Linked DNA regions of Elephas maximus indicus. The protein of the gene in region 1 purifies or fractionates together with the protein of each later gene. This does not show direct contact. Links are inferred from orthologs where the notes say so. Each region holds a gene or a part of one and is shown on either strand. Other genes may lie near its edges.

Evidence for each region. Proteins that work in one complex are often made in the same cells at the same time.
Region 2: the proteins of CPSF6 (region 1) and NCBP3 purify together in Homo sapiens (co-immunoprecipitation; 3 studies listed by BioGRID and IntAct, with this or other methods). This does not show direct contact. The link is inferred for Elephas maximus indicus from reciprocal best matches to the Homo sapiens genes CPSF6 and NCBP3.

What each region holds. Positions count from the first base shown.
Region 1 is NC_064822.1:130,074,031-130,081,235, reverse strand, and holds the start of CPSF6 (cleavage and polyadenylation specificity factor subunit 6), read right to left. Parts: upstream 3,207-7,205; 5' UTR 3,120-3,206; coding exon 3,060-3,119; intron 1-3,059. UniProt on the Homo sapiens protein: Component of the cleavage factor Im (CFIm) complex that functions as an activator of the pre-mRNA 3'-end cleavage and polyadenylation processing required for the maturation of pre-mRNA into functional mRNAs.
Region 2 is NC_064837.1:17,352,334-17,360,698, reverse strand, and holds the start of NCBP3 (nuclear cap-binding protein subunit 3), read right to left. Parts: upstream 3,246-8,365; 5' UTR 3,194-3,245; coding exon 3,011-3,193; intron 2,501-3,010; coding exon 2,420-2,500; intron 1,154-2,419; coding exon 1,088-1,153; intron 1-1,087. UniProt on the Homo sapiens protein: Associates with NCBP1/CBP80 to form an alternative cap-binding complex (CBC) which plays a key role in mRNA export. NCBP3 serves as adapter protein linking the capped RNAs (m7GpppG-capped RNA) to NCBP1/CBP80.

The sequences.
Region 1 (7,205 bases):
AAAAAGCATATTGTATTCACCAAATATTAGGCTAGCTACTACACTGAGTACAAATCCCCGTTCAAACTGAACTAATATACCATAGAGGCCAAGACAGAAGCTCTTTCTTCTCAACTCCAAATTCAAGTAATGTAGAGGTTTGGAAGTAGTTTAAATTCTCCCTCCACTAGGGCAACTGTTCTCAGTCTCAATTTGGTGACATCCAAAGACCTTCAAGAACTAAAGAGCACCCATAAAGAACAGCCTACTCTCTTGTGTCTTCTTCCTTCCTCCAACTTTCTTCTCCATTCTAAAGTTCATCTGGTGAAGAAAGGACCTCTACTATAGTTTCACTGTTTTATTCTCACCCGTTCTCAAACAAATTAAAGTTTCTTCTATGACAACCGAATGACTTACACTTTTTAAAGTAGGTTAATACGGTGCATTACCAAAATACAAGGACAAAAAGACTTCATAAAAGAAATGGCCATGCTTTCACAGTAGAAAATGGATAATACAGACTACAGAGAATTTCAAGGTATACAAATTCAGTTAGAAATGCAGCTCACATCAGAGAACAAAGTTGTTTTTTTTTTAATATTTACAGTAGTTTAAAAGCCAAAAATAAGTCAAGACTAGTAACTAGTAAGATAATCTCTTTCAACTACAATAAAGTCTTATAGTTTAAACAACCAGTAGAAATAAGGCCACCAGCTAACAAGAGCATAAATTAAATCAGTCTTCGATAACTTTGCAGTTGCCTCTAATTCTGATATATTACAGAAAAACATTTCAAAGACGGTCTAATATTAAAAAAAAAAAAAAAAGCAAGATGAACCTTGAAAATGACCACCCTTTTGTGGCCATAAAAAAAAACAGGAATTACCATAGCAAGCATATTACAGAAGCCAATGACATGCAAAATGAGAGAAACAAAACCTCTACTTAATAAACTTGTAGCCCCACACCCATTAAATCTATTCAAAGGTATAAAGATTTTACTGGCAAAATTATACACACACTATGTGTAAGATATAATGGTATAGATACAAGTGAATGAAAAGTTACCTTTAAAAAGGAACCTATGAAGTAGTTGCTCCTCAAATCCCCCAAATTGTAATCTTTTCTTACCTCCTGCTCAGTCAGCACTTACTGCACAGGGATAAGAAGTATCACTCCATCTAGCTATCTGGGTAGGGAAGATGTCCCTCCCAATTAAGTACGCTAAAGATTAAAATTATTTCATCAAGAGGGACTCGACAAAGCTGTAACTTCTAAAATTATGTTCCAATTCTTCCTTAATTGTGGGGAGAAACACGAAGCAATGTATTCTCTTGTAAAAAAAGCTAATGAAGACAATCCTGATTACTCAATTGTGCCTTTACTTGCAGGTATGGCCCTCTTTTGGATGGAATGTTAAAGCAAAAAAGAAAAAAAAATTTCCTAGAGATCTTTGTCTACTGACGTTAAAAGCATTAGAATCCGACTCTGTGTAGCACTCAATGAAATTTTCTCATTTGCAATTGACACAACACATACCCAAAATTTAAGAATAAAATTTTTTTCAATTTAACATTCGATAACAATGAGTTACATTTAAACATATCCAGTTTTTGAGAGTAAGAAACAATTGGAAATTTTTTTCTTTTCGAATATTTAAACCAGGGTACTAAGTCATTTTTGACAAACAGTAAGGATTTCTGTGATTTCCATGCTTTTAAAAATCTTGGGCCCTTAATCACAAATAATGCCCTTGGGGCGGGGTGGGGGGAAGCACACATTAAGCAGAATTTTATTAAGCTTCTCATACGAACCTGGAAAATAAAAAAAAAAACAAAAAAACAATGCTTTTAGGTGCACTATATTTATTCAGGCACAATTTGATTTTTTTCTTTTACGTATATAAAATGCAGTGAAGACGTGAACAGCACACTTAGCGCTTAAACGTCACTAGTAACAGACTAGATCTTTTAGAAGGATGCCCACCATCAGGCATGATTACTCTGCGGGCGATTCTTCCAGGCAACCGTGGCCTTTGATACTGGAAAAACCTTGCATTCTCCTTCCTCCAACCTCTCAAAATGTAAAAGCATGTCCTACGGGAGAAATTTAACACTTCGCTTTCGAAAACAGGGTCATATCTACAAGTCTTTATTTCTAAAACAGCATAAGAAATTCGCGTGAACGGTCTTCATTTTCAATCACTCCTCTATGTCTAATCTCTTGTTGAGCTACCATCTTTTTGTTCCATCCCACCACTGCGCTTCCAATTCTTTTTGCTCAAGCCATCTTCACGGGTATTTTCACCACAAAGGCCAAGAGCGACTGGGCCTCACAAGCACCGCAAGCCCTCGATTAATAAGCAGCGCCAAAGCACCGACTTTTATATACGATCTGTGGGTCCAAAGTCAAAGGACTTGTTGCAAACGTGCCCACACCTAACCCGCCTTCAGGAAGCGTGAGCGGAGGAGGAGGAAAGAGACACGCCGAAACCTGCCGCAAACCAAGCAGGGACGCCCAAGAAACTGGGCGCGCGGGATACAAAGGGCCGTGAATGCGGCCTTCCACGAAGCGACCGTGCGCGGTTAGAGAGACAAAATGGAGAGCGACAAGAGGAATCAGAGCCCGAGCGGTGGGGCCAGGAAAGAGGCTGCAGCCGGCGCGAGCCCCGCCAGGGCTTCCTCCTCCGCCCGGCGGCAGAGGAGGGGGCGCGGCGGTGCCCGTTCTCCCCGCCGCACACACGCGGCCCCGCCGCCCCGGCCTAGCGCGGCGGGAAGCAGCCGATGGCCGCCGCCAACAATGGGGAGCGAGGCGAGGGAGGGGCGACGGCGGCTGCACGGCGGCCCGCGTCCGGACTCCGGGCCCCGCGACAGGCCGCAGCGCCCGCGGCCCGCGAAACGACGCGGTGGAACGAGGGGCGGGGGGAGGGGGGCGCCGCGCCGGGACCGGGCGGCGCGGCCCGGAGGGGACAAGGGCGCACGATCTGCAGCCTGCCGGCTCGCGGTAAGCGACGGGGCCCGGGTCAGAGCCCGGGCCGCAGCGCCGCCCGCTTCGACAGGGCGGGCCGGGTCCCTACGTACCTGGTTGAACTCTTCGCCCACATCCGCGTAAATGTCTATGTGGTCCACACCGTCCGCCATTTTCTCTCGGCCTCGGCCGCCGCCTCCTGCAGATCCGCCCGCCGCGGCAGCAGCAGCGGATCTAGCGGCGGGGGCGGGGCGCTCTGCGTCACTTCCGAGGCCCGAGGGATGGAGGCGGGGGAGTGGTCGGGGGTGGTGGTCGTCTCTGCACAGCCTTTGGCGCTCCGCTAGCAGAGAGGAAGGGGTGCGCGGCTGAGGGCCCGGGCGGGCTTTTTTGTGTGTGTTCGGATTATGTCTGAGGGACGGAGGTGCGTCATTCCTCATTCCCTTGTGCTACTCGCGCATCCGGCGTGCCAGTGTGTCCCATTTGTTTCCAGAGATTATCTTTTCACGTTGCCCCAGCACATTCAAACGTTTTTGTTTTTTAGGAAGTTGTTTTTCAGTTTTCTTTTCATCTTTCCGTCGGGGCTTCTAGAGGGATCGAAGTTGTATTGATCTCCGATAAATGCAATGTAACCTCCGGGCATTCCGTGAGCGCCTTGAGAGCTCAGGGTCTTTATCCTGCATCCTTAGAGGACCAGCAGTTTCGTTTGCATTATAAACGCTGTATACCCGTTTGTTGTTCTCTTGAGTCATCTGCATGCTCCTATACTTTTTGTGTTTCCATCTCTAGCTCCAGTCCTCCTCTTCTTTCATACCTTCACCTCCATTGCCCCTCATTCCTGCCTTCAGATCCTCAGTTGGCTTTCTCTGGAATAGTTCAAATGCCTCTTAACTTGAACACACTAATTTTCAAAGCCTACCCAACAACAACAAAAAAAATCTTTTTATTTTTTTTACCCAACAAAAAAGAAAAAAAAAATTTTTTTTTCTTTTTTACCCATCAAGGTGGCCGCATCTTGAGGCAAGTGAGTTCTCTCTCAATAGAATGTCCAAGCAGTAAAGGAACTGGGAAAATGTGTTATCAGGCCCAAACGTCTTATTTTACAGATGAGAAAACTGAGGCCTGATAGGACCTAAGTGATCTGCGTCACATGGTCAATAAACTATTCAAAGATGTTTCTCCAGTTTGAAACTGTCCCCCATTCTTTGTTTTTAACCCATTTAAAAACAGGCTAAATTAGATTGTGTTTCCTAAGATACAGACTGGCCAGAATTCATTCCTACAGTGATAATCTCAGCCTCATCTGTCCTGGTATAGAGGAAAACACTTTGACTTTGGTTGAGGTCACAGTACAAAGAGATCTGGGTACAAATTTTGTTCAGGTACTTTAAGAGTTAGATGATCTTACGGGAAAGTTAAATAACCTCTCTCATCTTCAATCTTAGAATCTTTAAAATTGTGGTTATAACATCTGCTTCATGAAGGATGATGGTAAGTTAAATGAGATAATATGCAAAGTGTCTGCCATTGAAAAATACTGATTTCCTTTTTTTCTCCCATGGGGCATTTTGAGAGAAAGGAGCCACTCAGGATGAACGGTGAGAGCATTTTTTAGATTAGTGGTGGTGGGGTGGGGCATCACACCTTCCACTTCACCTCCTTGACTCAGTCAACTCCACATTTCAAGCACTGCACTTCCTTTTTCCAAATTCTGTTAGGATGAACCTCAAGAAATGGCAATTTTTAATAGGTAAAAAATGGCCTAACATTGGCAAGCTCATATCATTCAGGATGCACTTAGCTGCAATAAACTGACATAAGCAATAAGGAAACTTATTGTAAGAATGGAGCCTTGGTAGTGCAGTGAGTGGTTAAGCGTTTGGCTACTAGCTGAAATGTTGACAGTTCAAATCCACCAGCCTCTCCTTGAAACCCTATGGGGCAGTTTTACCCTGTCCTGCAACGGGTTTGGTTTTGGTGTTATAGGGTCGCTGTGAATCGGAATATACCATGGACTGCCAAAGGAATGAATAAATCTGTCTTGGAAGAAGTACAATCAGAATGCTCCTTAGAAGCAAGGATGGCGAGACTGCATCGTATATACTTTGGACATATTGTCAAGAGGGATCAGTCCCTGGAGAAGGACATCATGCTTGGTAAAGTACAGGGTCAGCCCAAAAGAGGAAGACCCTTAATGAGATGGATTGACGCAGTGGCTGCAACAATGGGTTCAAGCATAACAATAATTGTAAGGATGTAGGACCAGGCAGTGTTTCACTCTGTGGTACATAGGGTCGCTATGAGTCAGAACCAACTTGACACACCTAACAGCAACAACAACTATGAGTTAGAATTGACTCGATGGCAATGAGTAGTTTAGTTTTTTTTTTTTTTTTATTGTAAGGATATCAGTGAACTGGCAAAATTGACTGAAAAGCTTGAGAATCAAGGTTGGAAAACAGGCAGAAACCAAAACAGGTAAAATAGAGGTACGCTACAGGCATAAACTATTTAGGAAACTCTCATTAGCATCATTGCCACTGGCCACTTGAAAAATAAAGTTTTTACCATGGTTTTAAAATGTGTTGCTTCTAATGCTCTTACATTGAGCTCTGTAATGATTTGTTTCTGGAAATTGCTGAAGATGAAATGCCATGTTAAGGGTCACAATGTTCATATGAAGGGCTGAACCTCAGTAAAATGCAGTAACAATATGACTGGAAGTGTTTTTCAACATCAACGACCACTTTTTACGGAGCTAAAGAGGCTCAAAATTAGTAACCATACTGTTTATTTTTTCTTACAACTTATGTAACAACTTAATGAATGTATGAGTGATGACAGAATTTATTCATTTCACTACTCAATAAATATTTTTAATGCAGCTACTGTATGGCGACCGCCACAGTAAGCAGTGCTGAGGGGTACAAATAAGATTGTACCATGATGTAGTGAAAAGTGGAGTGGTAAGGTGCAATGAGGCAGATCTTGGTTTGAGACCCAATTCTTTTACTTTTTTACTGTCGTTTTCAGCAAGAGTTATTTAACCTCAATGAGACCTGTTGAAAAAAATAGGGGTAAGTAATGGATTGAACTGTGTTCCCCCAAAATGTCTGTCAACTTGGCTAGGTCATGATTCACTTGTATGATTGTAAGATTGTCTACCATTTTATCATCTGATGTGATTTCCCTATGTGTTGTAAATCCTATTACGATGATGTAGTAAGATGCATTAGTGTCAGTTCTGTTGATGAAATCTACAAGATTAGATAGTGTCTTAAGCGAATCTCTTTTGAGATATAAAAAAGAGAAGTGAGGAGAGAGACATGGGAACCTCATACCACCAAGAAAGCAGCACCAGGAGCAGAGCACATCATTTGGACCTGAGGTTCTTGTGCTGAGATGCTCCCAGACCAAGGGAAGACTGATGACAAGCAGCTTCCTCTAGGGCCGACAGAGAAAGCCTTCCCCTGGAGCTGGCACCCTGAATTCAGACTTCTAGCCTGCTGGACTGTAAGAGAATAAACTTCTCTTTGCTAAAGCCATACACTTGTGGTATTTCTGTTATAGCAGCACTAGATGACTAAGATAGGGTAATAATACCTCATGTGGGGTGTTAGATTGTGGGTGAGAAGAATGGAAAGGAATGAATAATTATTGAGTACATAATAATATATGCCAGCCCCTGAGATAGATGCTTTACAAGCATAAACTAAGATTAGACAGCTTGGGTATGGAGCCCTGGTGGCTCAGTAGTTAAGGGCATGTGCAGCTACTAACCAAAAGGCCAGCTGTTCAAATCCACCAGCTGCTCCTTGGAAACCCTACTCTGTTCTATAGGGTCTCCATGAGTCAGAATTGGCACAAAGGCAAAGGTTAACAGGTTTATATGTGTATAGTGTGGGAACTGGGGGAGGTAGTCATCCGTGGAAGTACAGATATTACTTTGAAATTTTCTGGGAAGATATATCAGTCAGAACCTGACAGGAAGTAGATGGCACACTCACTGGGAAAATGGAGGAGAGTTTAACAAAGTAACGACTTATGACTGGGTGGGCAGGGTTGAGAAACTAGTATCGGATGCTGAAGCACTGTCTTAGTCATCTAGTGCTGCTATAACAGAAATACCACCAGTGGATGGCTTTAACAGAGAAATTTGCTTCCTCACCATAAAGTAGGCTAAAAGTCCAGATTCAGGGCCTCAGCTCCAGGGGAAGACATTCTCTCTGTTGGCCTTCTCATCAATGTTCACCTGGACTAGG
Region 2 (8,365 bases), on another chromosome or scaffold:
GGACTTTGACACACTAATTAAAGGTCTGACTATAGAAAGCTTATGGGGATTGGTAAAGCAGCAACACCTCTGTTATTCCCCAATAGTTACACTAATTTTCTTCACTGACGTTTTCCCAGTGCAAACAACTTATCTACCTTCCTCTGGTAACAACTTAAGTACCAATTCTGGGGCTACCACCCTTTCTCTCATATAGCTGTTCCATATAATGGCAAACTATGTAGGATTAAGAACAGTATAGACTATAATTTTTTCAATTACAGTAAGAATAAGAAAACATTTCACTTTATTCCATTTTCTTGCTTGTCTAAAGGATGACTAATTCTCTTTCGGTCTTTAAGCCGAAAGATAAAATATTAAAAAGAAAGCATGACATATTTAATTTTTATTTTTGCTTTTATACATCCAATATAGTATTGTTATTTAGAACTGCTATTCATAATTCTGTTCCAAATTTAACAGCACACGTTAAAATCACAAATGGTATCTAAACTAGATAAAACCGATCAAAGTGACAAATTCATACGGATTGCTTATAAGGAAAACAATAGGTCTGGCTCTATGCAACAGTGCAATGAAGCTGGTAATCTAGTTAACAGCAATCGCTAGTTAAAAGGCAATACTCTCAGGTACTGGGAATAATTTTGTTGACTTGGCCTTCAAAGTTCAGATAGCCACGCAATCAGTAAGCCCTATTTTTCTAAGCCTACAACCTATGAGGAATAAAGGCATTTACTAAGGGCCTACTATGTGCCAGGCACTTTTCACTTAAAATGGCCACAAGCACACATTTTGAAAGAATGGACACGCAGCATTAAAAAAGCACTCCTAGCACAGAATTTCTTCTTGGAAATGGTTAAGCACAGGCATCTAGGTATAGTAGTTTTATCTTTTTGGGGATGTAATGTTGCCTGGATGTTTTTGGGGGATGCATGAGGGCTGCCTTGTGTAACATGCAATTAAGAACAAACGTAATCCAGCAACAAGAAAAAAAAGGAAGTAAAGAATAATACTCTCGCATTATGTTGAGGGACCAAGTTCCCAAGACACTTATCAAACTGAATAAACCGATCATGGTCTGTTTTACCTTGGAAGTAACATCGATTCCAGTGATGAAGCTGCCAGCCTTGTTTTCGTATCTTCTACTTGTGTCCTAACACAAAGAGGAACAGTGAGAAGTGCTGACAGCAACTGAAGAAAAACTCATGATAAAAGGCAGCCTGACAAGTGATTCCCCTTGGATAGTCATTCTTTTCAGCAACACTTCCCCCATCCCCGACAACTCCTTATTATGAGAAAGCCTGTCCCAGGGACTCTAAGAAGTCCCTTCTAGATCAGAGCCCACCCAAAACCTGAAGTAATCCCATCAACTGAAGATATCCATGTAAATGTGAATCTGAAGGCTTTGGAGAAAATGTCAAAGATGAGGTGCAGTCATGTCTTATCGCCCCAACCCAGACTGGACAAACTCCCCAGGCTAGGCCACTAGATGGAGCACAAGTCTACCAAAATGCAGAGAGTCCAGGCTCTCCTAGAGTTCAAGGGGAAAACACAGCACAGTACAATGAAAAGAAGATGGGATTTGGACACAGAGGATTAAAAGACAATCCTTTTATCTCTGTGGGTCTCAGTTTCTCCTATGGTATCTGCCTACCTTCCTGACCTTTTTTACTACTGTTCCACTTGTGCTACAGAACTTTCCATTTCTCCAACAAAACAATCTTGTTCCCATCTCAGAACTTTTGCATTTGCTGTTCCCGCTACTGGCCACACTCCCTTCTGTACCTGCACATTGTTGGCTCCTTTTTGTCATCTAGGGTTGGACTTGAACGTCACTACCTCAGAGGTCTTCCCTGACCATCCTATCACATTCTGCTTCTGCACGCCCTCCCTACTCCCTGCACTCTCTATCCTGTGTTTTATTTTCTTCAAACACATCCCAGTATCAGGAATTATTTGTTCATTAGTTTATTATCTGTGTCCCCCAACTAGAATATAAACTCCAGGAGGGAGACTTATCTTGATCTAGTGCCTAGGACACGGCCTGGCACATAATGAGGGGTGCAACAGATACTGAACTGAATGAACAAAAGAACGATAATACCTACTTCACAGGTGCAATGATATTTAAACAGCATAATGCAGTAAACGGTAAAGTGCCATTATGTTTATTATCATCGGCCATTTCTAGTAAGCCTACCTTAACCTTTTCTCACGACTTCAGTTTAAAGCAAGACTTGCTGACGTGGTGAAAAGTATTTTATGGCAGGTGAGAATTTAAGGATATGAGAGGACCATCCAGGCCGGAGACCAGTTGTCTGAAAACCGCACCGTACGACCACCAAACCACAAGCAAAACACCTCTCCCCATCCCCCTTGTGATAAAAGAGGGGCCGAGAAAGATGACTGGTGCACCTACTCTGGTTTCATTAGAGGTCAGATGCTGGGGCAACGGTGTAGGTCCTGTACCGCAGTGGAGCTGCGCCGAGGCAAGATGACCCTCAAGCCACAACAGAAAACACCGTGAGTTTCTGCTGCTGACAAAGCCAGTGCTCCCCAGAGAGACCGCGAGTGCCAGGTTTAAAACACCAACTACACTAAAGCAAGACCCACAAGGAGACCTGGACGCCAGGGCCACCCAACACTTCCTTCTGGGCCGCCCCTGGTTCTGTTCCCGCCCCGGGTGTCCCCATTATCTCAAACCCGGCGGCTCCTCGCTCACTCCCTTCCACAAACAGGTTCAGGGAAGCAGCGTAGGGTGTCCTCAACTACCCCCCAGCTCTCCCGCCGGTCCTCCAGCCCCCTCACCACCCGTTTCCGGGCTCCCAGCATCCTTTCTCTCTCTCCCCTTCCTCAAGCCTGGCCCCCCGCCCCCCGGGCGCCCGCGCCCCTCTCCTCCTCACCCCCAACTTCCCCCGGCCCGGGCGCCAGCCACCTCCCCTTCCGGCCCCCTCGAGCGCGGGGCACTCCCTCCGCGACCTCCTCTCCGACCCCCGCCCCCCGCCCGTACCGGGATCAGCTCCTTCAGCGAGCGCCGCACCGGCACGATCTCCAGCTCGCCCTCCTCCACCTCCATAGGCTCTGGTTCGCCGCGCTCCAGGCCAGGCTCGGCCTCTGGCGAAGGGAGCCCCAGGGCCGGCCCTGCCGGGGCCTCCGCCTTCACCGACACTCGCAGGCCCCGTACGGCCGCCATCGCCGCCCGCCGGCCGCACCACTGAGAGCCCGCTCCGCACACCCGGCGGCTAGAGCGCCGCCACAACTGGCCACAGAGGAGCCGCTGCCGCTACCCAGAGTGTCACCCGGTTAGTGCAGAAGGTGGTCCTCAGCTCCGTCGCTCCCTGGTGGTTGGAGGAACCACCACCAGCTGGGGCGGGACCTGGTGAGGAGGAGGAGGGACTGAGTGGGGATGGGGCAGGGCCTGCTGGTGGGGGCGGGGCTTGAAGGAGACCCGTGCAGTCTGGGCTTAGAAAACAGCTAGCCCTTGAGTAAACCTGTGATAAAACCTAGTTTTACTGAGCCAGGAGCTCTGGCGGTGCAGTGGTTAAGAGCTCGGCTGCTAACTGGGTAGTTGGAATCCCCCAGCCGCTCCTTAGAAACCCTTATGGGGCAGTTCTACCCTGTTCTATAGGATCACTATGAGTGGGAATCTACTTAACCCCAATGGGTTTGGTTTTTGGTTTTACTAAGCAAGAGCCTTGATGGCACAGTGGTTAAAAGTGCTTGGCTGCCAACCGAAACGTTGATGGTTCGAACCCACCAGCATAGGAGAAAGATGTGGCAGTCTGCTTCTGTAAAGATTACAGCCTCAGAAACCTTGTGGGGCGGTTCTACTCTGTCCTATAGGGTCGTTGTGAAGCAGGCAGTCATGAAAGTGTTATTAAGGGTTATATTAGCCATCCCATAGTAGTTGTATTTCAGAAAAGTTTACTCTTGCTACATTTTTGTTACAAATTTTACAGCACTTCACCATGATTGGTTGAATCCCGGGTTTCTTCTCTTCTCCTGGCAGAAGGCCAAGGCGTAGGTGCACTAACTCCAAATTTACCTGCTGTATGACCTTCCTTCAGTGGCAGTAGGGAACCATCACCATTTTTTTAGGGCTGTGCACAATATTTTTAGAGCCGTGGGCCAAAACTCATTCACAAAAATTATGCAGACTGCCCACGCATCACAAGACTGAGGACCCTCCCCACACTGTTCACGCATATGTATGTCACTCCCTATAAAAGGGGCAAATCTGCCCTGGTTCAGGGAGCTGGCAGTCTTAGGTCACGAGACCCTGCCTGCCTCCCGGTTTGCAAACCGAATAAACCTTTCTGTTCTTCCACCCTTGTGTCTGGCTGACTTCAACTCGCTAGTCTGCTTAACAAGAACCTATTAGTTGAGGGCTTCATCTGGCACCCCAGATGGGACGCAGTGGAGACTCTGGCTCAGGGTAAATTAGGTCCTGAAACCTCCTCCAGAGGGCACCCTTGACGCTCCATTGGGTCAGGAGGACTTTCTGGGCCGCACCAGCCCCAGACCAGACAACCCACAAGTCCCCCACTGGAGAAGAGAAACATTCTGACAGTGCCATGAAACAGGTACCTATTTTAAGTTTCATTTTGGAGGAGCTACTAGGTGGTTGGTCGTGTCCTCAGTAACGGGTGTTATTAGGCCTTGTGGTGATCTCCCTGTGTCCTGGGGCTGAGTCCCCACCTGCATGAGGGCACAGGTCTCCATCTGGTCTTTTGTCTCAACCCCTGCATTTTTTTTTTTTTTTGGCCAGGATCTTGTTATAGGATCTGGTTAAGGAATATTGTCCCTGTGTCTTGGGCCCCCCCCCGCCCCCGTTTGTCTCATGTTCTAGCTCGGAAGTCTCCCTGCGCAGGATGGTTTTATGTCTATCTCTCTTATGAGGAGTGTACTGAAACATCCTTTCTAATTTTAGATACTGAGTCTCGTATAAGACAGTAACTCAGTTGGAGCAAAGTACGGTCCTTACAAATATTGGCTGTGGAAGGTGTGGTACTTGAATTGCTCCACCTGAGATTATGTATCAGGGTAACCGAGTTCCGCGCCTCCGTATAGTCAGGGCCTCTCGAATACATCCTTCCCCTGGCCTACTGATTAGAAGCGATAAGATCTATAAACAAGATGGCTGCCGGTCAGTCCACCCCTAAACCATCCCCCTTAGAGTGCATCTTGACCCACTGGGATTTTTTTAAAACTGGTGACACCAGGACGAAGCATTCGAGGTTCCTCTGTGGCACAGCTTGGCCTCAATATAACTTAGAAGGTCAGGAGAAGTGGCTGGCCAAGGTAAGTTTGCACTATAATACCATATTGCAGTTAGATTTGTAAGAAAACGCGTAAGTAGGATGAGATACCTTATGTTCAAGTGTTCATGACTCTGTGTTATAATCAGGGATTACAATAGCAAAGCAGATTGATGGTTCAGGTTAATCAGAAGTCTAAACAAATTCTCGAGAGAGAAGAGTCCAAGCTTGTAGTGGGACTGTCACCCCCATGTAATCTTATTTACCATCAGATTTCCCAAGTGGTTCCTGCTGACCCCAGCCCCGGGGCCTCGGGAGCGGCCTGCATTGATCCTGGGACCCCAGGAACAGGAATGGTCTTCCCACCTCACACCCACAGTGGTGCTACATTTGGCCAAGGCCAGTCCATTTCCTCCAGAGTGTTGACAAGGAGCGTGATCCAGAAGTGGTCCAATTCCCTTTAAGGGAGGCACCGGCTGGGACAGGAGTAGACAGGAGAATTAGGAACACTTTGACGCATGTCCCCTTCACCGCTTCAGATTTGTTTAACTAGAAAAATAATTTCCCAACACAGCATCTGGATCCTCAAAAGATCCATGACATATTTTCATCCATCTTTAATACCCATCAGCCCACCTGGGCAGACTGCCAGTCTCTGGTGGAAGTTCTTCTCTCTTCTGAAGAGAGGAGAATGGTTTTGGAAAAGGCTAGACAATTCGCTGATAAAGAACATAATGAAGACCCCCAAAATCCTGACAAACTGCCAGCCAAGAACACAGTCCCTGGAGTTGATCCAAAGTGGGATTACAATTCGAAGGAAGGCATGAGTAGGCTGAGGCATTATAGAAAGTGCTTACTAGAAGGGTACAAAACTGGGGTACAAAAACAGAAAAACCTCTCAAAAATTTATGAAGTAATTCAGGAACCCTAAACAAAACCCTTCTGAGTTTCTTGAAAGAATTTTCCAGGCCTTCCAGAGACACACTGATACGGATCTGGCAGCTAGTGAGAATCAACAAATGGTTAATACCATCTTCACAGTACAAAGCTCTACAGATATACAAAAAACCAGAAATTGGATGGAGGGCCAGGTTTGCCTACCTCTCAATTCGTTGAAACAGCCTTTAAAGTTTTTAATAACAGGGACCAGGAACAAGAGCAGAAGGAGACTCTCTGAGCAAGACAAGAGGCTACCCTGCTGGTGGCAGCCTTAACTGGGAAACCATTCCCCTCACCATATCAACCAGCATCAAGAGAAGGGAAAAAAACCTGCCAGGGGGAACTTTGGCCCCCTGAAAAGGAACCAATGTGCCTTACTGTCATAAAGAGGGACACTGGAAAAATGAGTGCCCTGAACAAGGCTGGCCGGCCAAGTATGTGGTGAGTGACCTCCAACCGGGAAGGGGCCTGGGACTTCCCACAGACTGGCTCCAAGAGGGACAGACTGTCACTATCTCCCCTGAACAACCCAGGGTTAACCTAACAATAGAGGGGAGGCCAGTTCAATTCCTCTTAGACACATGGACCACCCACTCGGCTTTAAATGATCCCCTTACCTTACCCTTGAGCGCCAAAAGGACTCCAACTGTTGGTGTGTCAAGAAAAGTAAATTATAAGAACTTTTTTAAGTCAGCTATATGCACAACTGGGAACTCCAGTCTCATCAATTCCTGTACATACTAGAATGCCTGACCACCTTATTGGAACAGGATTTGCTGTCCAAATTAGGGGCCAGTATCTCCTTTCATGGAAACCCTGGTGGTGTAGTGGTTAAGTGCTACGGCTGCTAACCAAAGTGTCGGCAGTTTGAATCCGCCAGGCGTTCCTTGGAAACTCTGTGGAGTAGTTCTACCCTGTCCTATAGGGTTGCTATGAGTCGGAATCTACTCGACAGCACTGGGTTTGGTTTGTTTTGGTTTATCTCCTTTCATGGGACTGAAAACCCGGTTATCCAAATCCAGGCTCCAGCCTAGGAGGGCTGGTGGTTACAAGCCGTTCTCCTGCCCCAGAGATTAGAAGACTCCTCCCAAATACTGGAACACATCCTACAAGTAGTACACCCCATTGTATGGGCTAGTGGAGAGCCTGGAAGAGCAGTGTCTGCAGCCCCAGTGGTAATCGAACTAAGGGAAGGGATTGGAACTCCCAATCTAAAGCAGTATCCCATGAGAAGAGAGGCTCAAGAGGGACTTGAGAAACTGGTAACCCAATTCTTGAAAATGGGAATGCTTTGACCATGCCAGTCAGAATACAACACACCCATCCTGCCAGTAAAGAAATCCAACAGAGAATACAGGATGGTACGGGACCTGAGAGCCATCAACCAAATCGTAAGTGATATCCACTCAATGTCCCGAACCCCCATACCTCGCTAGCTGTAGTACCTGGAGACTGTAACTACTTCTCCGTGCTTGATTTAAAAGGTGCATTTTTCTTCATCCCCATTGCAGAAATCTCAGCCACTGTTCACCTTAGAGTGGGAAGACTACAACACAGGACACAAGTCCCAATTAACTTGGACTGTAATTCTCTGGGAATTTAAAAACAGCACAGCCGTCTTTGGGGAAGCACTCAGTCAGGATTTCCAGGGCCTCAAATTAGAGGAGGGTGTCCTGCTCCAATATGTTAATGATCTTCTCATCGCCAGTGAAGGGCGAAAGGCCTCTGACCAAAATACCATTAAGATTTTCAATCTCCTGGCCCAGTTGGGATACAAAGTCTGGAAGGAAAAAGCCCAGATATCCCAGCTACAGGTCCGATATTTGGGATTCCTCATATCACAAGGAACTTAAACCCCACCTCCTGCATGCAAGGAGGCCATTTGTGCCACTCAAAAACCATCAAACAGATGGGAGCTCAGAGGGTTTTTAGGCATGGCTGGGTTTTGTAGAATATGGATCCCAAACTTTGTACTGATAGCAAAACACCTTTACGAAGCTATGAAAGGGGGAGATGGAGACCCATTCATTTGGTCTCCTAGCTATCGACAGGCCTTTAAGGAAATAAAGGCTGCTTTATTAAAGGCCCCTGCTTTAGGCCTCCCTGACTTGGAAAAGCCTTTTCATCTTTACACCCATGAATGCAAAAGGATACCCCTGGGAGTCTTT